Linked DNA regions of Elephas maximus indicus. The protein of the gene in region 1 interacts with the protein of each later gene in a biochemical or structural test. Links are inferred from orthologs where the notes say so. Each region holds a gene or a part of one and is shown in the gene's direction. Other genes may lie near its edges. The genes, in order: TEK, ANGPT4 and ANGPT1.

Region 1 (7,324 bases):
AATATATATTTATATATGAGCGTATATGTACACAGTCATTATTTTTTTTTAATGCTGAAATTATAGAAAACAATACAGAAGAAAATAAAAATTATCAGTTTTCCAACAACCCAGAAATAATCACTTTTAACATTCTGGTGTACATTTGTCATGTATATATTTTATACTGTTCAAACTGTTTTCCTTCCCCACAGACATCTTTCTATGTCAATATGCTTCAACTACTTCATTTTAACATTTGCTGGTATTCCATGGTATACCATGATTTATACAGACAATCCATTTTGTTGGCCTTTTAGATTGTTTCCAGGTTTTGGCTAATATCAACAACGCTGCCATAAACTCCCTTATGGATAAATTAGAGGGCTCATCTTTGATTTTGGCTTGGGATATATCAGCAGTGGATTTTCTGGGCTGATGGATACACACATAGGCTTTTGCTGCATATTTGTGAAACAGACCTCTGGATGTGTGATGCCAGTTTAGAGTAGCATTGGGTAAGTTATTTTCCATGCCTCTTCACAAACATTGTTTTATTATCCATTGTTAGTTTTGCTAATCTTTCTCACAGATTTTTTAATGTTGGCTATAGATTTTCATTTTCTAAGTGCAAAAAGCATAAAATAGGATATGAAGTACCAGCCAAGTGCCTTGTTTGTTAGCTTGTTTTGTTGGTTTGGTTTTCGTATTTGTTCAGTTGTAAGTGTATCTGGAAAAATCAAATTGAGCTAAATAAGCTTGACTCATGAGGGAGCTCTCTTTCACCACCCTGGAGAGAGGGAGTGGAGCATCCTCAGATCCTGGTATTAGCTCTTACTATTTTGGGGGCACATTAAGAACCAACTGGATTTCTTAAGGTCACCAAACTTTGCCATTACCTGTGGAAATTTCATTTCAAATACTTTCCTAAGGTCTGTGTATATGGTGTTAGTGATGTTTCCTATATTTCTTTTTACCTACTTTTCTGCACATTGTGGTCTAAAGGTGAACTATGAAAAAAAAGTGTCATATGTTAGAAATTGCAAAAATTGGAGGCCAAGAGACAAATATTCTAATACTACCTCTGCTACCTATAGCAGAGCAAGTGACTTAACCTGGGGGAGACTTTGTTTCCTCACTGCAAATAGTTCTGTATAACAGTCTAGTGGTGGCGGTGATTGGGGATGGGAAGGGAACCATAGAAAGCAGGTAGCCAATACACATCTTGTGTCAGATGCTGTGTATATATTTTCTCAGTAATAAGGTATTATTTTTCCCCATTTAAAAATGAGAAAACTGAGGTTGAAAGACATGAAATAAATTGCCCAGACCACACAGTAGATTACAGATAACAACAGATGAAATCTTGGTCTGCTTGACTCCAAAGCCCTTTCTATGACACGTGCATATAGTTCAACAGGTATTTATGTAAGACCTGGGAATTCAATGGTGAACAAGTTATAGTCCTTGCGTTTTGGAGATAGCAGCCCAGTAGGAGAGACATTAAAAAGATAAAGATACAAATATATGATTGCCAATGGTGATTAGTGCCATGAAAGAAAAGGAAAGGGTGTTGTGAGATAATAACAGGGAGACCTAACTTGGATTGGTGGTCAAGGAAGACCTTTCTGAGGCTGAAACCTAGAGAACGCATAGGAGTCAGGCAGGCAAGGATGAGGGAATTGTATTTCAAATTTTCCAGGTGATGGAACAACCAAGGGTAGACAGGTGATTCAGCTAGTCCCCAACAAAGCTCTTCAGGCAAAGGACATGTCCTATTGATGGCTACAGCCAGCTTTCTAGAAGAGGGTTTTGGCCATGTCCCAGTACATGGTATTTCCTTAGTTCGTTATGTATTGGGGACAAGTCCTGTCCAGACATGGAAGTGGCCTCTCCCTTCCCTTGTAAGTCCTGGCATGCCATCCAGTCTGGCAGCTTCCCAACCTGTTGCCAATCAGCTCTGCAGACATTTTGATCCCAGTGTGCAGTGAAACTCATATTCTTCCTTGATTGGTTTTCCATGTTCTAAGATGCATGTATCAGAAAGCTGGAGCAGAAAGTGTCTGGGTACTTTTGTCCACAAGTTGTCTTCACTTTACACCTGGAATTTAGATCTCATGCTGAAGATCCAGACATCCCAAAGAAAAAATTGCTCAACTCTTTGACTAGCTGTGTAATCACAGGTTCAGAGAGCCCAGCAGCGTTTATTAAACCGAGTCACTGTACTATATAACATTGAGAATTAGCAAATACAGTGCTCTTTCTGGGTCCTGGAAGAAGAAATTAAACTAAGTAGTTCTTCTGGTTAGTGGAGAAATGAATTAAATCAAACAACTTTTCTCAATTACAGAGAGAAGAATGAAATGGTGTCACCCATTCTATATAACGGAAGGAAGAAGGACCTGAGTGACATTTCTGGGTAAAGATAGATAGGAGTAAGTCATCTTTCTGGATAATGGGGGAAGGGATGAAACTAAGCAGCTTTTCTAGATACCAGTCCAGAAAAGGAAGCAAGGTAGCACCTTTGGTGCACGAGAACTAACCAACAGGAGGGGGTGTGAGCAAAGACAACTTCCTTGTGTGGCCACCAAGCACAAAGAAAGGAAGCTTGCATAGGTAATGAGAACCAGCCTGGAGAGGCTGGCACCCTGGAGTTTGTTTACTTCCAAGGCCTACCATTGCCCCCCCTGTATGGCTTGGGGCCAGTGGATCTCACAAAACTTCAGCCACCATGGTCTTAAAATAGAGCACGTTTGTGATCCTCCCAGACTTTCATGGATACAGAGATACAAAGCCAGCATCTTCTTTGAACCTTCCAGATGGAAGGACCTAGGAAATATACAGCTCACAAAAAGCAACTTGGGGATATTGAGAGTAGGACAATTTATTTAGTCATTTAGACATGAGATGTTAGAACTGCAAGGGAAATTAGTCACATCCAATCTAAATTCTTAATTTTACAGTTGGAGAAAACTGAGGCTTAGAGATGAGAAATTACTTGTCCAGGGCCTCCCAGGCAGATAATAACAGATAGAACTACAACCCAGAGTCCTGACTCCCAGACCGTTTTTTTTCTATGCCAAAATTAATCTCATAAGAATAGAGATTGGCATCCTGGCTGAAGCTCGTGGAACCTAAATTGGAGACAGAATGGAAAAATGGACGGGAATTAACATACTAACATTTAATAAAAGCTATCTATGAACTAGGCGGGGAGCCAGATATTTTTACATATTTTTTTTAACCTCAATCCTCACAAACGCTCCATGACGGGAGATATTATTTCCATTTTACAGCTTTCAAAACTGAGGCTCAAAGAGATTAAGTAACTTGTCTCAGGTCACGCAGACGACTAAACCAGTATTTAAACTGGATCTGCTTGAAGGCAGAGCCTGGGCTTTCTACCCCAGCAGATTGGAAACATCAACTGGTTCTCAAGATCACTGCTGATGTGGTAAAACCTGGGACAGAAATTAAGTAAGACCACGCAGCATCTACCCTTTCCTGTGAAGAGTAGGAAAAGGCGTAGCAAACAATTCCTTCCTCAGATATTAAGGCAGGATATCTAATAGTATCTCCCCTCTTTTCTAAAGTCATAATTCATGTTGCAGAGAAATTACAGTCAGGATAAGTTTTGGGTCTCTGATCTCATTTTAGGTAGTTACTCCAGTTGGCTATTTTTGTTTTGGCCCATGTATTCTCTCTGCTGTTATAAGTATTTTTATCCCAATCTCGTCTTTTATGTTTGGTTTTTCGCTCAGATGATTTTTAAGATTTTGTATATAATTTACTTCTGAAATACCTTTGGCCAAAAAGCATAAAGCTCTTTTCATTACTGAAATCCTTCTATGCTAAATTAAAAAAGAAAAAAAAATTAGATGACCTTTAAATGAATTTATTAATAAAAATTAAGGCTATAGCCAGTAGCATGGGTACCTTTGGGCTCTTGGCCAACAAATAATCCATCTGTGTGAAAGAAACCAGCTGACAATTTTGGACTCTATATGGCTACATTGAACATTAACTGCGCCGGTGATTATCTAAATTAATTGCCTCTTGGGTTGCGTTCTCTCGTCATGGAAAACTTCTTTTTCCAGTTCAAACCATGTAGGTTGAAATGAGAAAACAAAAGCAAAAACTACCCCCCACACCCAAAAGCCCCTCTGTCCGGATTTCCAAGTGGACCCAGGAGAGCGTTAGAGGTCTGAGAAAGGCTGATGATCATCACTGCATACCATACATAGGTGGAGGGCTTGTTATTCTCAGTTTCCCACCTATGAGAGGATACTCCTATTGTTTCTGAAAGTGCTGACCAGGACCCACACTTCCAGCAAAAATTCCTCTATCCCTACAGCGACAGCAAAAGCAGCAGCAGAAAACAGCAGCAGAAGCAATGGCCACAGATAAGTGTTTTGATGTACTGCAAGATGGATAGGGCTTGCAGTGCCCCCAGCCCTGCTGATACCACATGCCTTTAAGATACAGCCTTTCCCATCCTAATCTACAAAGGAAACAGGAAAAAGGAACTTAAAACTCCCCGTGCTCAGACAGAAATGAGACTGTCACAGCCTGCTTATGTGCTGTTCCTTCTTGCCTTTAACTTGTAAACAAGACCTGGTAGAACATGCGAATGGAAAGTCACAAATCTCTGGGTTTTTGAAAGGCTCCTTGGGACCTCATGCATAGCTGTGGAAACTGGATGGAGAGATCTGGGGAAGCATGGACTCTTTAGCTGGCTTAGTTCTCTATGGAGTCAGCTTGCTCCTTTCTGGTAAGGACTGGCTTTATTTATTTATTTTTTTAAACAGAGTTACTGACTTTTGGGCTCTTACCAACTCTTAGTACTGGTTAATGAGGGGTGGCTGTGGTATAGATACCATTTCTCTCTGATTCTCCATTTCATATATGTAAGGATTGAAATGCCAGGTTCCTAGGGCATGAACTGGTTTTCCCTCTGGCTGATTGTCCCCTGAATTGCCACAGACTGGGAAGACCAATTCAGTCACCTTATTTGAAGAGACTCGCTTACTATGGCATTATTTTCCTGCTCCTTGTCCTGGAGGGTTTTCTTATCTAAAAAAGAAGAAGAAGAAGAAATCTAGATTTACCAGCTTCAAAGAAAATCTTCAGTAATTTTTTTAAAAATAAAGTGTATATTAAAATTAAGCAAGACCACTTAAGGCAATGTACAGATTATCAATGCTTCTCTCTAAAGGTTTTATATCTGTGTGGTATTTTAATCACAGCGAGCAAATTCTAGGCTTTTTGTAATTTTTATAGATGGAGTCCAGTAGATTGGGGTTCAGTGATTTTTATTTTATTTAAAAAAATATTTGGTATATATATATATTAAAAAAAAGAAAAGAAAACAAAACCCATTGCCGTCAAGTCCATTCTGATTTGGTAGATAGTATTCATAAAGTCTGTCTATATTGGCCCAATGAAGTGAATGTCTAGGCAGTAGCACAGGTCTTTGGGCACAGGAGAGTTTTCAAAACTGTTGTGAAATTCAGGAATCATTGGCCTGAATGTTTTTGGATTTATTGTGTACATTGCTCAGATTATCTAGATATTGGCATACCTCTGTAGTTTCACTTGCCCAGTGTGACAAGACTGAAGTGCGAATCACAAATACGTTGCAATCACCATCAATCTGTCCCCTTTGGTTCGAAAACATTCTAACCATTGTAATGAAAATTGATTGGTATTAGAAATGAATTTTGACAATTTACTGAATTTAATGGTGCAGGCTATATTACATGAATAGAATTTGATGCAAAGATACACAGGCATCTGCTATATTATTTTTTGATATATGTTTGAAATATTTTATTAAATATTCACAAAATTAATCTACTAAGAGAACAGAGCTGCATGTAATTTGTTTTACAGCTGTCAGTTTGCTTTCAACGACAAATTATATTGAGGATTTAATACCTTTTTAAAAATCCAAGCATGTAAAATAGGAATCCTGAAAATGAGAAATGATCCCAGATGATTTCAATATTTATGTGGTAATGGTTTATATTAATGTGGAAATAATGTTAATTTCTGTATTAATATATACCTTTAAACTAAATAATTATCATTGTTCCTTTTTTGGGTTGCTTTTGTTCTGGTGCCACATTTGTCAGTGACACGAAGCCTGGAACTGATTCCACACCAAGGATTACAGTTATGCAAAGCCCCAGGGACCACAGTTGCTCTGAGATATGTTTTAGATTAAAGAATGCACACACACACACACGCGCACACACACACACACACTCACTACTGTTTTAATTTACTTTTTTTCAAAAGTAACTATGTTATGGCACTTTGCAATATAGTCACAAAATAAAAAGTTATGTTGCCAAAACAGTTGCCCCAGTGTCTAGACCTCAGTTCCCTGAAAACACAGCACTGACTTCAGCAGGAAGATGCCCAAGGCCGGAGGAGAGGTGATGCTCTTGTTAGAAGGGAAGTGTGACACTAATGAGGTTAACTTTTGCGATGGGTCTGTTGTGTTGAATCCTATACTCCCGGTCTAAGCCACCATGAACATGAATGCCCAAGCGTTGGTGATTACAATAAGAATTCAGTTTGATCATGTCTATAGCCAGATGAGTCTGTTCTTCAAGCCAAATTCCACTGGTAGACTACAATAATGGAGCAAGGAACTAATAGCGTATGGATTTATTTCTCTATAGTGGTTTGTTTCTCATAGCTTTTTTTCTGAACCAACAGAATGGGGGAAAAAAAAACCATTTGTCTCAATAAAGGTGGCTTTGGGTAGAAGAAATGCTGATCCATAAGACAGTTGGAGGAGGTGTGTAATTTTCAAAAAGCCTCCCCCCAAGTCTTCTTGGACTTTGGTACATTCCCTTCCCAACTGAGAATCATTGTCAATTCCAACTTACAAACAAGTTCTAATAAACATTCTCCTTTTCCCTACTCCCCCATCCTCACCAAACCAGGCTGCTCTCTCTAAAGAGTTGTATATGCAGAAAAACAAACCATTCTTTCTGCTTTACATAGTATATCCTATATGATCAACATCGATCCAGTGGGAAGGTTATAATTGTATGCCTACTTACCTCTTGCCTGTCTCATCTGGCATTTAAAATGACAACCTGGATTGAGTAACAGTGGATATTTTGTCTGGGGTGGCAGAGAAAATGTGGTTATAAGGTCAGGAAAGTGGACCCAGCTGGAATCTCCCCATTAGGCCTGGCCTTGGAAGGCTAGTATCAAGTCAGACTAATAAAGGGTAGAGGTATGGAAGCTGGGATGGGAGGCACCCCTTGAAATTTTTCTCAGAAGGTAGGAGTTTTGCTCTCTTCACAAAGGCTCCCTTCCAAGGGTT
Region 2 (7,858 bases), on another chromosome or scaffold:
CAAAGACAACTCTTAAGAAGTTTATTAAAAAGAAATTTATTTGATACAGTCAAAATTTTTTTCTGTCTGAAGTTTAATGGTTTAATTTATGAGATTTTTAGGCGCTTTTATAGCATATAAAACAAAGAATTAGGTTTCTCGCTGTTAAAATTAAATTTTCTTTGCTTTCTGAGTTAAATAATTAATTTATCAGTGTGATCTGCCTCTAAAACAAAGGTCCAGTCTCTCATCAGAATAAGATTCCTGAGTCAGAAACCAAGCTGCATGGCTTTAGGAAAAAAAAAAAAAAAAGCTAAGGTTTTTATTTTGAGATCTTTGGTTAAATGACTTAAGTATTGTTTCACAGTAACTTATGATAAACTCCTGACAAGTTTGAAACTTCATGGAAACCCACAAAATTTTAATAAGGGAAAAGTGCTAAAAAGGTTTATTTAACATGTTGTAAATTACACAGAACGTGTTGTTAAAATCAAGAGCAGTGCTGAGTCTTTTCCTTTGGGTTAAAATTTATATGTTAGTATTTCCTCTTGTGTTTTTGCCTAATATTAGACAACAAACACATAATATTATGTCATAATTTTATTATTTCTTAATTGCTAACTTAATTCAAACTTTATTTTTGGAATCTAGCATCATCAAAGCCAATAGTTTGACTGGAGAATTCAAATCATTTACCTATAAAGTTATTTTTTATTACTATCTAGGTATTTAGAGACTTGATAATTTTGGTATATTCTTAGTATATCCTGACTATATGGTATTATGTCTCAAGATTATTATGAAGTTCTTTAAAAATATGGTTAATGGTTATATTTAGAAATATTTTTATCTAAAGTTTCTCTTAACCGATTTTATTTGGCCTTTACATTATGCTTGTAATTAATTTCTATTAGGTCTTTCACTCTTAAGAGTTATGTTTATAAATTAATCATGGCCATATTAAGTTTTGCCATCTGCAGATAAATGTTTACTTTGCTGATTTTCTGAAAACATTTGACCAGAATATCTCAACAAAAAAGATGGACTATACTGAACTTGCAAAAAAGACTGTGACTAAACTCAATCGAGATTTCCAGAACTCCAAGCAGAAACTGATGGTTTTGCAGACTGCAGCCGATCCAAAATCACATGGAACAGAAATTAACTACATAAGACTGAGAAAACGGAATGATCCTACGGGTTTATGTGAGAATATTGCTGGTATTTTAAGGCCTTTCTTTCTGGAAATCAGAAATGCTGTAAGGTCCTACTTTCTGGATATAAGAAACCATTTTCCTCTTTTCTCCTAAATTATCTAACTAGTGGGTTTAGTGATTTTAACTCTTGAATTAAAAGTTCTTGTTGTCAAAGTTAGCAAAGTGGTAAATATCATAGCCAGAGAAGTGTCTGGAATTTGAGCTATGATTTTACAAATTAGAATAGCATTAGATTTCCTATTGGATCTCTCAAGGAAGAGTTTGTGCCTTAGTAGATAAATGTTGCTGTATTTATATTAACACAATCATAGGCTTTGCAGAACGTGGTTAATACAGAGGCACATGAAAAACAGTGATTGATGCTGCTTATGTGTGAACAAACACCCCGTGAGATTTGTTTCCTTGGTTCCAAGACCTTAGGGTCATGGTTTCATTGATTATTTCAGATAATTGGCCTAGTGTTAGTGTTTCTATTCTACCTCCTGATTTGCTATATGGGATCTTAAAAACCAGATAGAGCCCAATTACCATTTATTGAACATTTTTGATCCAAGATTCTATAGCAAGATCATGATCTAAAGGAAGGAACCATGAGAGAGTTGTACGTAATTCTCCTGCAATCCAGATTTCTGGCTTTCGTGGAAGTTGGGGAATATACATAGTTTTATTTATCGCCTTTGGGTGTCCTTTTGAACCTTGAGCTTTAAGAAAAAAACTGATTTCTGAAGCCACTTTAAGTCAAACAATTGTCCAGATAAGCTAGCCAAGACCCTTTTGCTCTGGGCATTGTGCTTTTTTTTTTTTTTTTTAAGAATTCAGTCTGTTTTGGGAAACACTCCAAAGATCAGTAAATAGAGTTATGTTTAAGGTAAATCAGTAATCGTTTTAATCAGTCCTCAAGACAATGTTGTATCTGTCTAATGTTTGTAATCAAACTCTCATCCTCTTGCTATAGAGAAAATTATGTAACTTGAAACCAAGTTTTCAGAAGAGATCGACCTCATGGCTCAGATTGCACTTTGCTTTTGAGAAAGTGACTCATGACTCTTAATAGACAAACCAAGGAAAGGCAGCTTGCCCTCAGGAAGAACACTTAGTATGTTTTAGGCACATTAACTGGAGACCTTCAACAGGAGAAGTCCATCCTGTATTATCTTGCTAATCATGTATTCTTTAATAGAAACTTATCTGTCACAAGCAAATTTTTCTGTACCTTCTGTTTTCTCTAGACAAACTTCGAGTGCCCTTTATAGATATATGTTCTTGTGTGGTGAATCCAACTATATAAATTTAGATGATTCCTTTCTAACTAATAGTGAATTTACGTGGGCAATCTCTTGTTTAGATTCCTGGCGAATGCGTGGGCAATGCACTTTGAGAACTTTAGGATTATCTTTAGATATTCATAGTAAATGCTAGAAAGGTAATGTTAATTTGTTATCCTTTGTAAAATGAGAATCAGAAGAAAGCCCATTGATCCAACACTCAGGGTATGGTTGGTAAATTTAATTCCTACTTAAGGTATATTTGAATTGGAGAAATCTTTCAGAAATTTATCAGTCACTATGCGACAAATAACAAAGTTGCTAGCGGGTTGGAAACACAACAGTGATCTCTGACCTCATTAATCCAAGGTGACATGAGATAACAAAATAGCCTTAGATTTTTATTTATTCGTCCAAGAAAGCGTAATGTGCTGTAGCAAATACCACTTGTTGCATTTAGATAAATAACACAGGAGAAGAACAGGATATACAAATAGAATTGGATAGCAAGCTACTTGGTTATATACTGTAACACCCTTACGAACACCAGATTTATTTGCACTACTACAAGTAATTTTCTTAGTCTACATCCTGATAGTATTAGGCATAATAAAACTTATCTTCTATTGTCTTACACACCTAAAAGGCTAAAGAAGGCCTTGGGCTAAAATGTTGATGTACATTGAGTTTACACACTTTGACAATGCAACTGATGAGAACATCACTCCTAAGATCCTGGTGAAGAACCGGATGGTATCCAGTGGAAAACCAGCACTGTGAGTTTAAAGAACCTGCCGCGGTTGCCATCTAGGAGCTCGACTAATCATGGATGTGTTATTTCCAATCTCCAATCAAAAGGAGGGAAAGATTTAGGAAATAATACTGGAATCATTATTCCCTGTCCTTGAGCGTAGAGAATGTGACCCAGCTGGAGCTGGGCTCACAAGAGCTCACCAGGACTCACGAGGACACATCAAGTGGGCCCTGAGATAAAGACAATAGATAGAATAATCTTGGAAAATATCTTCTAGGGAACCTTTCACATAAGCCAGAACACAAAGACTTTCCACTCTTATCTTTTTCTAACTATTAACATCTAGTGAATAGAAACTTATTGGACCAATGAAGACCCTCCTGACTTGTTACTGAAGCCTGTACCAATGACTGTTAAGAAAGAAAATTCAAAATGTAGGATGACAGTTTCTAACCAATCTGTGAAAAGGTGACGCTCTCAACGGTTTTGCCCATTTGTAATGTTAATGTATACTGATGACTCTGTAACCTTCCTTGGACTCAGATAGACATGGCTGTAGCAGCAAGCTTGTCCTTTTTCCCATTCTTGTTTATTCTGTAATATTCTCTTGACTTGAACAGGCATGTCTGTGGCAGCATGCTTGGCCTTTTTCCCGTTCTTATTTATTCTGTAATATTCTCTGCATTTGGAGACATGTCTGTGGCAGCATGCTTGGCCCTTTTCTCATTCTTGTTTATTCTGTAATATTCTCTGGACTCGGATAGACATGGCCGTGGCACCATGCTTGTCCTTTTTCCCATTCTTATTTATTCTGTAATATTCTCTGCATTTGGAGACATGTCTGTGGCAGCATGCTTGTCCGTTTTCTCATTCTTGTTTATTCTGTAATATTCTCTGGACTCGGATAGACATGGCTATGGCATCATGCTTGTCCTTTTTCCCATTCTTATTTATTCTGTAATATTCTCTGCATTTGGAGACATGTCTGTGGCAGCATGCTTGTCCGTTTTCTCATTCTTGTTTATTCTGTAATATTCTCTGGACTCGGATAGACATGGCTGTGGCACCATGCTTGTCCTTTTTCCCATTCTTATTTATTCTGTAATATTCTCTGCATTTGGAGACATATCTGGCAGCATGCTTGTCCGTTTTCCCATTCTTGTTTATTCTGTAATGTTCCTTGGGCTCGGGCAGACATGGCTGTGAAACCTGCTTGTCCATTTTCCTGTTCTTGCTTACTCTGTAATATTTCCTTGGACTTGGGCAGACATTAGCTCTGGCAGCATGCTTGTCTGCTTCTCAACTTTTGTCTTCCTGAATATATGCTGAATAAAACTTTCTTTTTGCTTTACTAAACTTTGTGATGTTTTTCCCTCTACAATACCTCCCCTCTTGCAGGGAGGCCAGGCCCCCACAAGACAATAAAGGACCAGAGTCAAGGCGGGCAGAGCGAGGCCAGCGCGTGGACAGGGCAGCGTGCAGGCAAGAGTTCGGAGGAAGGAAGGGAGAGGGGGAAAGAATAGGAATGAGGGATGGGAGGGGGGCGGGCAGGAGGCGGTGAGAGGAAGCTGAGCAGCTGTGGTATTTGGAGCATGTATAAATAGCCGCTGGAACGGGGCTCAGCCAAACAGGGGTTTGCAGCTGCAGCAGCTCTGCAGGCAGGCTTGTCCACTGGCAGCCTCAGCCACGGCGGTTGCACCCTGGGCACCGGGCTGGGTGGTGAGCAGGCACGGCCCCTGAGGGCCCTGACCGCATCCCCTCCCCATCATCACCTCTCTGGATGCCCTCCTGGCCAGCCATGCTACCGGGCAGCCTCCTCCTCATGGTGGCCACCACGACTTTGGCCCAGCAGACGGGCCAGGAAGCAGGTGGGTGTCGCCAGACACACCAGGTCCAGCACGGCCAGTGCAGCTACACCTTCGTGCTGCCCGAGCCCAAGCCATGCACTCCGGAGCACGAGCCCTTAAGGGGCTCCAACAGCCTCCAGAGGGATTTACCGGCTGCCGAACGGCACCTGGGGCAGTGGCGGAGTCAACGGGTGCGGCAGCTGGAGAAGTTACTGGAGAATAACACCCAGTGGCTGCAGAAGGTAAGGGCTGGGCCTGCAGGGGGGAGGACAGCTTCAGGTCTGTCATGATCGGCAGGAGGAGTGTCCACCTCGAAGGTCTCCTCTGGATGCAGATGGCCAAATCGATGGGACCCTCATCCCTGAATTGTACAGAGTGGGATATGGAGCCCCAGAGAGGTCCAGGAATGGTTCAGAGAACACACAGCAAGACAAGGCAGTGTCTAACGGCCATTCATTTATCCGTCTGTCAGAAACATGTGCCAGGCCCATCCTAGCTGCTGGGGATACAACTGGATGTACATTCTGGGGGGGAGACGTCGATAAAGAGATGAACAATAAATATTTACTATGTCAGAGGGTGAAACAAAATGAAGGAAAGGAGGAAGACAGGGAGTGACCGAGGGGTGGCGATTTGAGGTCAGATAATTTGAGAGGACTTCTCAGAGGAGGTGGTGTTTGAACCGAGACAACAAGTGAAGTGGAGAAGCAAGCTTCTTGGGGGAGAGCATTCCTGGTAAAGAGACAAGCAAAGGCAGAAGCTGCAAGGTGGGAGTGCAGTAGGTGCCTGGTACCAGGTGGGCTGCCAGTGTGGCTGGGGCAGAGGGAGCAAAGCAAGAGATGGAGAAAGGGGCTGGGGATGAGGTCTGAGTGGGGTGGGGGGGTCTTGTGGCACTGCAAAGACTGTGGGTTTTGCCCTGCGTGTCACGGGAGCCCTTGCAGGGTTTTGCACAGGGAGCCACACTCCTGGTTTGGTCTGAACAGGAGAAGAGGCTATAAGGGCAGGGAGCGCAAAGAGGAGACCCCTGCAAACACCAGGAGGCCTGGAGCAGGGAGGCGCTGAGGGTGGAGGTGTGGTGGGTCAGATTCTGGTTTCTTCTGGAGGAGGCGCTCATAGGGTCTGCTGATTCATTGGATGGGGTGGGAGAGAGCAAGGAGTTGAGGACATCCCACGGTCTGGGCCTAAGACCAGGACCACTATAGGATCTCCTGCCCTCATTCTTTCATTCGTTTGTCCTTTCAGCAAACACTCAGAGCACCTACTGTGTGCCAGGCCTGGGACAAGACACTAGGGTGCAGAGGTGGATGAGGCAGACCTGCCCCGGGGTGATCATGGGGGCAGAGAAGGCGTCCTGCAGCGCCCATGGTGGGCTGACCCCCTAAGTCAGAGGTGACCAGGGCCAGACAGTGGGACCAGGGCCGCAGATGCAGGGAACTGTCTGGGTGGTAGCAGCGAGGTGGAGAGCAGCAGCTGATTCACAGTGTTTTAGAAGTTGTAAAACAGCAGGCAGCGACTGACAGGCTGCAGGCGAGGGTGTCCAGGAGGAGTCCCCAGGGTGTTTCTTAGGCAAGCAGTATCTTCTTACTCCCATCGTTTCCAAATTCTTTAAACCATGTTCCTAATCAGTAAGAAATGTTTGCCTCCCTGATGCATGCATACTTTTTTAGTATTTATACCCACACACCCAGTGTTAATACAATATGTACAGGGCACAACTCTAGCAAAAATGGAACTTTAAAAAGATGATATATGAAATCACATCAGTTGAAGTTCTGGTAGTTTCCTCCTGTTTTCCAAAGAATTGTTTTGTGCATGGTCTGGGTTTATCCGTTCCCAAGGTGGAGAGGTTATACTCTGTGTATCTAACCCACCTTCGTCATACACACACGCATGCACACACACACTCGCAGGCGCACACACACACCCCTAACCTCCTGTCTTTATTCTTCCCAACCACCCCCTCAGTCCTTTGCTCACCATCTTCCCATAATCCCTTGACCACTTGCCCCTCCACCCACCCGCCCTGCAACATTTCTGCCCTGTCGCCATCCCATCCTGTGCCCCCTCAAGGGAGTCCTGACCACATATACTGGAGTCCAACCTAGCAGGGACTCCATGCTGCCCTGAAATCTGTGTGTGTCTCTTCAGGCAGCTGTTTCTGAGTCCCATGTGGCCATTTCAAGAGTTATCCCCCACCTTCAAGCTTCCATCTTCACCTCCCCACCCACCCCATTCTCTCACCAGACTATGGTCATCCTTCTTCAATGAGAAATTGAGGCTAAGAGGAGAGAAGTCCCTCAACTGCCTGCCCTACACCTGCAGATTTGCCCATGCACCCACCAGTCCCCAGGCCTTCCTTCAGGCTCTGAGGGAAGGTTTTTCTCCATGAGTCGGGTCCACTCTCCCTCCTAGGCTTTGGGTCCCAGCCCCTCAGCCTCCTCATACCAACCCTCCACTCCTGTGTCTCCAACAACTTCTCCCTCTCTACTGGCCCTTCCCCTCAACGTTCCATTGCACTCAAGTCTTTCCAATCTTAAAAAAAGAAAGAAGAGGCAAAAAAAGAGGAGGAAGAAGAGGAGGAGGGAGAAACACAACCCTTTTTTCCAGCCCACACCCCTCATTTTCTGCCTCCACTTCCTCACTTTTCATTTACTCCTTTCCCCAACATCACCTCCCACTTCCCAAATCCAATGGCCATGACTTAGTCTTCATCTTACTTGATGTCTTAGTTATCTAGTGCTGCTATCTAGTGCTGCTATCACAGAAATACCACGATTGGTTGGCTTTAACAAACAG
Region 3 (7,854 bases), on another chromosome or scaffold:
CAGAGCCATAGAATATGGCATCTTGGTGTGCTGAAGCCACATTGCATTCAGTACACAAGGGAAGAGAAGGCTTTCTCGCTCCTTTTGGCATAATGTGTGATCACGTGAGTATCAGAGGAGTACTACCTTGTGTCTCATCCACTGACGGAGTTTTAGAGGAATAAACTCTATTTTATATTGTTAGGATGAACAAATCTGTCTTGGAGGATGTATAGCCAGAATGCTCCTTAGAAGCAAGGATGGTGAGACTTTGTCTTGCTTACTTTGGACATGTCATCAGGAAAGACCAATGGTTGAAAAGGACATCATGTTTGGTAATGTAGAGGGTCAACAAAAACGAGGGAAACCCTTTATGAGGTGAATTGACACAGTGGCTGCAACGATGGGCTCAAACACCCAAAGATTATGAAGACGGCACAGGACCGGGTAGTTTCACTCTGTTATACATACTGTCGCCATGGGTCGGAGCTGACTAGAAGGCAACTAACAACAAACAACAACAATTTTATTTTAGAGTCAGGGCGATGATCAAGATATGTAACAACTGATATGGCACAGGACCTACCATTCAGAATGAATTCAAGCTATAACCTAATCAATCAGATTAGATGTCGGTAAACAAATGGGACAGCTGTACTGGTGAATCCTGGTTTAAGATTAGCTCTGTTTTAGAGGATCAGAACATGAATCCATGGAGGCATGGATGGGAGGAGGAGGGAACAAATTTGAGTTATAGATACTATGCTATTTGTGTCCCTTAAATTCTAAGAAATCCCTTCTCTGTGTTTCCTAACACTGAGGTAATACAGCTCAATGGGTTACAAATGTGGACCCCAGAGAAAGACCAGTTGAAGATGAAATTCCTGTTCTGCTACATAAGAGATGATAGATCTTGCACAATTGTGTAACATATATATGTCTCAATTCTCATCTGTAGAATGCTAATAATAGCACATACTTATGGAGTTTCCATGAACATTAAATGAGGAAATTAATTTAGTAAGGGTTCAAAAATGTTATTTAGTATTATTGTACCATGTTCATGTGTCTAACTTATTACTTAGAATAAGTTTGGCTTCCTCTGGTTCTCTCATGCTCATAGATTTTGGGCAAACTTACCCAACAAATGAAACAGCTGTTGCCAATCACATATAGTAGCCAGACATCAAATCAGGAAACTGTACCAATTAAGTAATTAACTAGCTCCTTTATTTGATCATTTATTCTTTCATTCCTTAACCAAAATGCATTGTGAGTGCTGTAGACTCAAAGATGAAAGAAAGGAGATCACTTTATGAGCTCATAGCTAGAGGGGGAGACAGACCAAGAAAGAATGAGAAAGCAACATGAGAAGTTCCGTTATGGAGATATGAAGGGAAAGTTATTGAAATACAATAGAGGGTGCCACTTGCTGCCTGGAGAAATTAGAAAAGCTTCTCAAAAGAAGTAACAAAGGCTGGTTCTTAGGATAGATTTAGGGCCATCGAGTTCCCCTGTAAAGGGCATTCCTTGTCACACTGGAAATTTCTGAACGAGCCTAAATTTACTAGTAGCCTAACTTTTAGTACATATGAGTTCAGAACCTTAAACAAATACACCTCCCTATTCCAGAGCTCTAATAATGAAAACAAAATACAAAACTTTCAAAATCAAGCTACTTCAGAACTCATTTGAATAGAACGATGTAGTTCTTTAGGAATTTTTTTTTTACTTTTGTTTTCTGGAAGCGTGGCGGAGGAGTTATAAAAAAAAATGGGCATGTATGTACTACCCAAACCCATTGCCTATGAGTTGATTCTGACTCACGGTGACCATATAGGACAGAGCAGGGTTTTTTTAGAACTGTCCCATAGGGTTTCCAAGGCTGTAAGTCTTTATGAGGCAGAGTGGCTGATGGGTTCAAGCCACCAACCTTTCAGTTGGCAGCCCAGAACTGTCGAGTCAATTCTGACTCATAGCGACTCTACAGGATGGAGTAGAACCGCCCCACAGGGTTTCCAAGGAGCAGCTGGTAGATTTTGGTCTTAACCTCTGCACCACAGGTCTACTCCGTAAATTCTGTAGTCCCCTGAATTGTGCATGATTTCTGAATAACCAGCAACAACGACCAACACTGTAGCGCTTGCTTAGGTTCATTTCCCTGGGCTTTTTTTTTTTTTTTATATTGTCCTTAGAGTGCCACTGAGATTTTCAGTGCACCCAGTGTCTCCTCAGCTGGAGTTCCAGAGAAGCACGAGTGGATTCTTCCCATCCCTGTTCTTACAATTGCTTGAAACTGATCTTTAGACACCTTTTCTGAATTGACTTTAGTACTTCCAGTGTCTTGGTTTGTTTTTGTTTTTCTGAAAAAGAAATGAATCAATCTGTCTCTTTCTTCTGTCTCTCTCTACTTTTTTACTTGCATTCCAGGCTTGCTTTCTTAGTTGTCTACTTTTCCCTCAGGAAAATGTGCATTCCTCATTCTCATTTGTTCAGATTGGAAAAGTTCACAGGAACAAGCACACACAGATAAACACACACATACACACTTGCACACACACACACGGAACAGATTTTTAGCAGTCATGGCTGTTTAAAAACATAGGAGAACTTTAGTAGAGACCTCACTACTCATCCTTTTGCCTTGTACCAATTTTCTGTTATGTTTAGTTTTCTACACAGCACTTATAGGTGTTTGTTTTGGACTCTTGTTTCCATGGATAATTTTGAAGGCAAGTAACATTGGAAAACATTCTTAGATAACCTATGCTTTGCCAGTCCACCTCGTCACATGGACCCTTACAAAACCTGATTTCATGGGTTACCTCTCCCCCTTCCTCCCACCCCCCTTCCTTCCCTAGCTCTCTCTTCCTCTTTTCTTCTCTCCTTTTTTTTTTTTTTTTTTGGTACAGGGAATGGATTAGATCACTTTGGAGGGATAAATTAGTTTTAATCAGTCTTTTTTCTTACCTCGCTTTAGAACTATAAATCAATGCAGCTGGAGCCCTTTTGTAGTTGCTTTCATCCTTCACCAAAACCAAAAACCAAACCGGTTGTCATCGAGTCAATTCTGACTCATAGTGACCCTATAGGACAGAGTAGAACTACTCCATAGAGCTTCCAAGGAGCACCTGGTGGGTTTGAACTGCCGGCCTTTTGGTTAGCAGCCATAGCTCCTAACCACTACACCACCAGGGTTTCCCTCATTCTTCACAGAGGTTTTCAAAGGTGAGCTGACGTGGCATAGAAGCATAGGCTCTGTGTCAGTTTGCCTGAGTTCACATGATGACACCATCACTTTCTACCTATGTGACCGTGACCAATGAGCCTTTCAGCAGCTCAGTCTCCCTGTCAGCCAAGTGGGGTTAAACATTAATGTCTATGTCTTTGTGTTGTTGGAACAATTAAGTGAGATAGTGTGTAAGAAGTACTTAGCTCTTAATAAGCATCATTATTATTCTTCCACATGGGTGATCTACGAGCCAGCTGAGAGGCATGCAACAACACAGGAGAAGGCTGCAAAGGTGGCTTGAAAAGGTTATTGCTGCGTTTGCCATAACTTCTTCCATGTCTGTCAAATCAGCAATTTGTCATTGGTGTGGGAAGGACTGATGTATCTCAGCACTTCTTTTCTCCCCAAGTAAATCACATTTCTTCTGGAATTTGTTTTACCCTCTCCTCTTATTTCTCCCTGAACACCCATCTCTAACCTCTGCTGCCCTTCACCCCCTGCCCTGCCCCCTTCCAGAACCTGGGAGGCTACCTCTGTGGCTTCTGTTTTAACATCATGACTGCATGGCCAAGCTCCATTGCCTTAAATCCCTCCCAGTCCCTGAGGGAAGTTCCCGCTCATAACTCGTGTTTTCTGCACACACCTAGTGAAAATCTCGATGCCTATATGCCATATCGTCTGTTCTATATGTTTTACTGGTTCCTGTATTCATATATTTACACCTTGTGTTTGGGAAATTCCCTTCTGGTAATTTTTATTTCTCCCCTAATAGAAACATGTGGATTTCTCCTGTACAACCCTTTGCTGGCTCATTGGCACAACTGGTGTATCTTTGCTCTCAGATGGCTGATCCACGCAGCCACAATGAGGATTTCTGTGGAGCTTCCGCACTTTTTTTTTTTAGCCATAGCAACACCAGAGACCTTTGTAAAATATATGATTAGGATGAACCGCAGGAATTAGTAACACTCAGGCCAGTGTCTTAAATTGTAACCACATAGTTTTTCTAAGGAAGTTGCCCAATTTACACACACAGAACACCCAGGGTTGCATTCTGATCAGGGAAATGGTTTCATTTAAAAATCCATGTTCCAGGAATACTTACTTACATTATTCTATGTAATATACATAAGCTCTAATCCTTTCAGGGACAACTTGTGATTTTTGTCTTGTTTTTTTCTAATTTGACCCTCCCTGATTGTTTTAGCCACTTTCTAAAAGCCGAAATGAATACAATGAAAGAACAGCATTTCTAAAAGTGGTTTTTAATGTCTTTTCTCCAGAGTCAAGAATAAATGTTTTATAAAAAAGAATTAAAAAAAAAATTACAACTTTCTTATTCACTGTCAAAAATAATTTCATCGGACATTATACCAAGTTTCTTCTTTGGGTTCCCCAATTAAATAGAAACTTAAAAAAAAAAAAATACTGCTAGTTTGCTAGATTTTAGTAGGTCAGTACACACACCAAAAGCGTATTAAGGTGGACTGCTCTATTTATTGATTTTCCGTGAATCTGCTTAAGGCTGGAGGCAATTGTCTGCGGAAGGGGCGGGCGGGCCATACATGATTGAGGTCATGCGCATCTAGCCAATTTGTAAGACGATCCCGCCGCCCTGAGCCATCAGCAATCCTTAGCATAGGGGCACATTCAAGCATTCCTGTCAAGTCATCTTGTGAAAGGCTGCCTGCTTCCAGCTTGGCTTGGATGTGCAACCTTAATAAAACTCACTGAGGTCTGGGAGAAAATAGCAGATCTGCAGCAGATAGGGTAGAGGCAAGGGTCTAGAATATGTACATGCAGCTGACTCAGGCAGGCTCCACGCTGAACTGTTACAGAGAGGAAACAATAAATCTCAGCTACTATGCAATAAATATCTCAAGTTTTAACTAAGGAAACTACCATTGCAGTGAAATAAAAAAATAACATTTTAGAGCAAAGCTAACAAATGGCTAGTTTTTTATGATTCGTCTTCAAAAGTTTTCTTGCAGGGGGAAAAAGTCAAACAAACAAGCAGTTTTACCTGAAATAAAGAACGAGTTTAAAGGGCAGAAGAAAGGAGCGAGATTTGCGAGAGGCACGGAAGGAGAGTGCTGGCAGTACAATGACAGTTTTCCTTTCCTTTGCTTTCCTCGCTGCCATTCTGATTCACATAGGGTGCAGCAACCAGCGCCGAAATCCAGAGAACGGTGGGAGAAGATACAACCGGATTCAACATGGGCAATGCGCCTACACTTTCATTCTTCCAGAACACGACGGGAACTGTCGTGAGAGTACGACAGACCAGTACAACCCAAACGCTCTGCAGCGAGATGCTCCACACGTGGGACCCGATTTCTCTTCCCAGAAACTTCAACACCTGGAGCATGTAATGGAAAATTATACTCAGTGGCTGCAAAAAGTAAGTGATTGCTTTCCGTTTCTAATTGCACGGAGCCTTTTCCCTTCTTGCACTGCAGCTAACCAACAGTTCCTTAGGGGGGAATTTGTGTGTTTACCTTTTGCTCCAGGGGGGCAGTGTTTGCAAACGCAAGACGGCTTAGTACTTGGTTTCACTTCGCGGGCGAGCCAAGGTTTTTAGGCTTTTGCTAGCTTACGAAGGTATGCTGGAGCCCCATTAGTGCATCTGGCAATGGCATGTTTTATGACATTTCTGTTTTTCTCTTATTCCCGGTTGAGCTTGAGTAGTCTGATTGTCAAAACCCCACTTTTAAAGAGAAAGCAAGTACGTTTTGAGCAAGTTGTTGGGAAAACAATAATAATGACAGTACTGCTTTGAGATCAAATGGAATCTACACCAGCAAGTTTTCATAACAAAATACGTTTTTTAACCTCTAGTAAAATTAACATGAAGTGAGAGTAAATATAAAATACATTAAAACCTGCGAAAGCCAGAACCTGCGTAAGATGGGAACCTGTCAGACAAGGAAAACTCAATTATTTTCCACTGAAACTGGAGATGGAAAAGTGGTAAGAGTGCACCCTGTCAAAGGTAGAAAACTTGGGAGACCCAGAAAAACAAGGCAGTTCTGAGTTCTGGCTCTCGCAGTTTTCCCTGTAGAATATTTAGTGGGGGAATTGTATAAATGGAATAAGTGTGTAAAGGAACGGTTTATTTTAGTTAAGTGATACAATAGTAGAGGACTGGTTTCTGTTGTATTTTTCTTCTGTACTTGAGAAAATCAATTAGGAAGATACATTTTAATGTGAATTCATCAGGAAGGAGCTGGTCGTCGACAATGAAGAAAGAAATTGAGCCGGTGGTGGCTAGTCTCTTGGGACATGCACCTGCCGATTTGGGTTGAACACAGCATGTAGGCTCTGCTGTACCCCTGGGGTACCGCACTTCTCAGGACACTGTAGGTACAGACTCAGGGCCATTTGGGAGTCTAGTGAGTATGCATTTGATCCCAATTTATAGAAATCAAATTGAACAGCTTGTTCTGTTATTTATGTATAAACCTTTGAAAAGTTTTTTGTTGAAGGTATTACTATTAAAATATGAGTGCAGTTTCTGCAGATAATTCTCACTTTGCTCTCTGATTAATTGTGTAAGAGGTAAGCAGTGAACAATAAGTATATTCAACAGACTTTGTCACTGGCAGCGTCCCCATTCATGGAAAGCTTCCCACCACAGGGTCTGTGCCAATAGATTCCCTTGGTTCGTGTAGTAGAAATGCACCCAGACTTCTGTAAGATGGTCTGTTCACAGTGCAAACTCCTTCAGAAGATAAAAGATAGTGAAAGGACAAATGCGCTTTTTTGTTCCTGTGTGGTCACAATCACTTAGATCACCACCTGCTGATTCACACTGTGTAACAGTTATTCTAGTTTCGTCCACTAGGGACTGAACTGAGATCACTGTTATTTTATTTGACATGTTAACTGAAACTTAGTAGTTCTAGAGCTTCCAAACCTGGAATTGTAGTTAATCTTATCACTACAGACTACAGGGGAATCGATAAATATGCAGAAGAGGAAGCAAAGAGAATTCTCCAGTCTTTTAATAATTATAGCTTAAATTTCATCTACTACCTACAGTGGCTATGAGTCGGAATCGACTCGACGGCACTGGGTGGGACCTACCGTGGCAGTCTATAATAATATATGTTTTTTTCTCTGGCAAAACTTATTTCCATAGTAAACAAATGAATTTTGTTGAAAGTTTATTACTATTTGTCAATATATATATTTTTTATACCATTCATATATTCTTTAAAGAGAATTTGATCATTATAAATTAATCTGGCTTTTCTGAGGTTGGCGGGGAGGAATATCTTAGTCCCAAAGTGTCTTGAATGAGATACTCTGCCAAAAATGTAATGTTTTGCTTGCTTAAAACATACAATCAAAATGGTGATTTAAAAAACAATGCATATTTTACATTGCTATGCAATTACTCAGGCATGACAAAGTAAATAAATACATGATCCTACTGGGCTTAGATTATGCAAATATTTCACAAGTTATTAATTTTGATTCTTGTTTTTGGTCAGTGATTATGGTATGCTTTTCAGATAAGAGCCAAGAATCACTAAAATATTCTTTAGTTACATGGACATTCACTCGCTCGTGTGAATCAAGCTGACTATGTTCTGAAAATGTCCCTGTTGGTATGAGTCAGACAGTTTGGCTTGACTATT

What was found.
Region 2: the proteins of TEK (region 1) and ANGPT4 form a complex in vitro, tested with the Homo sapiens proteins (2 studies listed by BioGRID and IntAct). The link is inferred for Elephas maximus indicus from reciprocal best matches to the Homo sapiens genes TEK and ANGPT4.
Region 3: the proteins of TEK (region 1) and ANGPT1 form a complex in vitro, tested with the Homo sapiens proteins (6 studies listed by BioGRID and IntAct, with this or other methods). The link is inferred for Elephas maximus indicus from reciprocal best matches to the Homo sapiens genes TEK and ANGPT1.

The regions. Positions count from the first base shown.
Region 1 is NC_064827.1:36,777,742-36,785,065, forward strand, and holds the start of TEK (angiopoietin-1 receptor), read left to right. Parts: upstream 1-4,227; 5' UTR 4,228-4,698; coding exon 4,699-4,750; intron 4,751-7,324. UniProt on the Homo sapiens protein: Tyrosine-protein kinase that acts as a cell-surface receptor for ANGPT1, ANGPT2 and ANGPT4 and regulates angiogenesis, endothelial cell survival, proliferation, migration, adhesion and cell spreading, reorganization of the actin cytoskeleton, but also maintenance of vascular quiescence.
Region 2 is NC_064843.1:38,939,107-38,946,964, reverse strand, and holds the start of ANGPT4 (angiopoietin-4), read left to right. Parts: upstream 1-4,853; 5' UTR 4,854-4,995; coding exon 4,996-5,304; intron 5,305-7,858. UniProt on the Homo sapiens protein: Binds to TEK/TIE2, modulating ANGPT1 signaling. Can induce tyrosine phosphorylation of TEK/TIE2. Promotes endothelial cell survival, migration and angiogenesis.
Region 3 is NC_064833.1:34,697,165-34,705,018, forward strand, and holds the start of ANGPT1 (angiopoietin-1), read left to right. Parts: upstream 1-4,823; 5' UTR 4,824-5,315; coding exon 5,316-5,612; intron 5,613-7,854. UniProt on the Homo sapiens protein: Binds and activates TEK/TIE2 receptor by inducing its dimerization and tyrosine phosphorylation.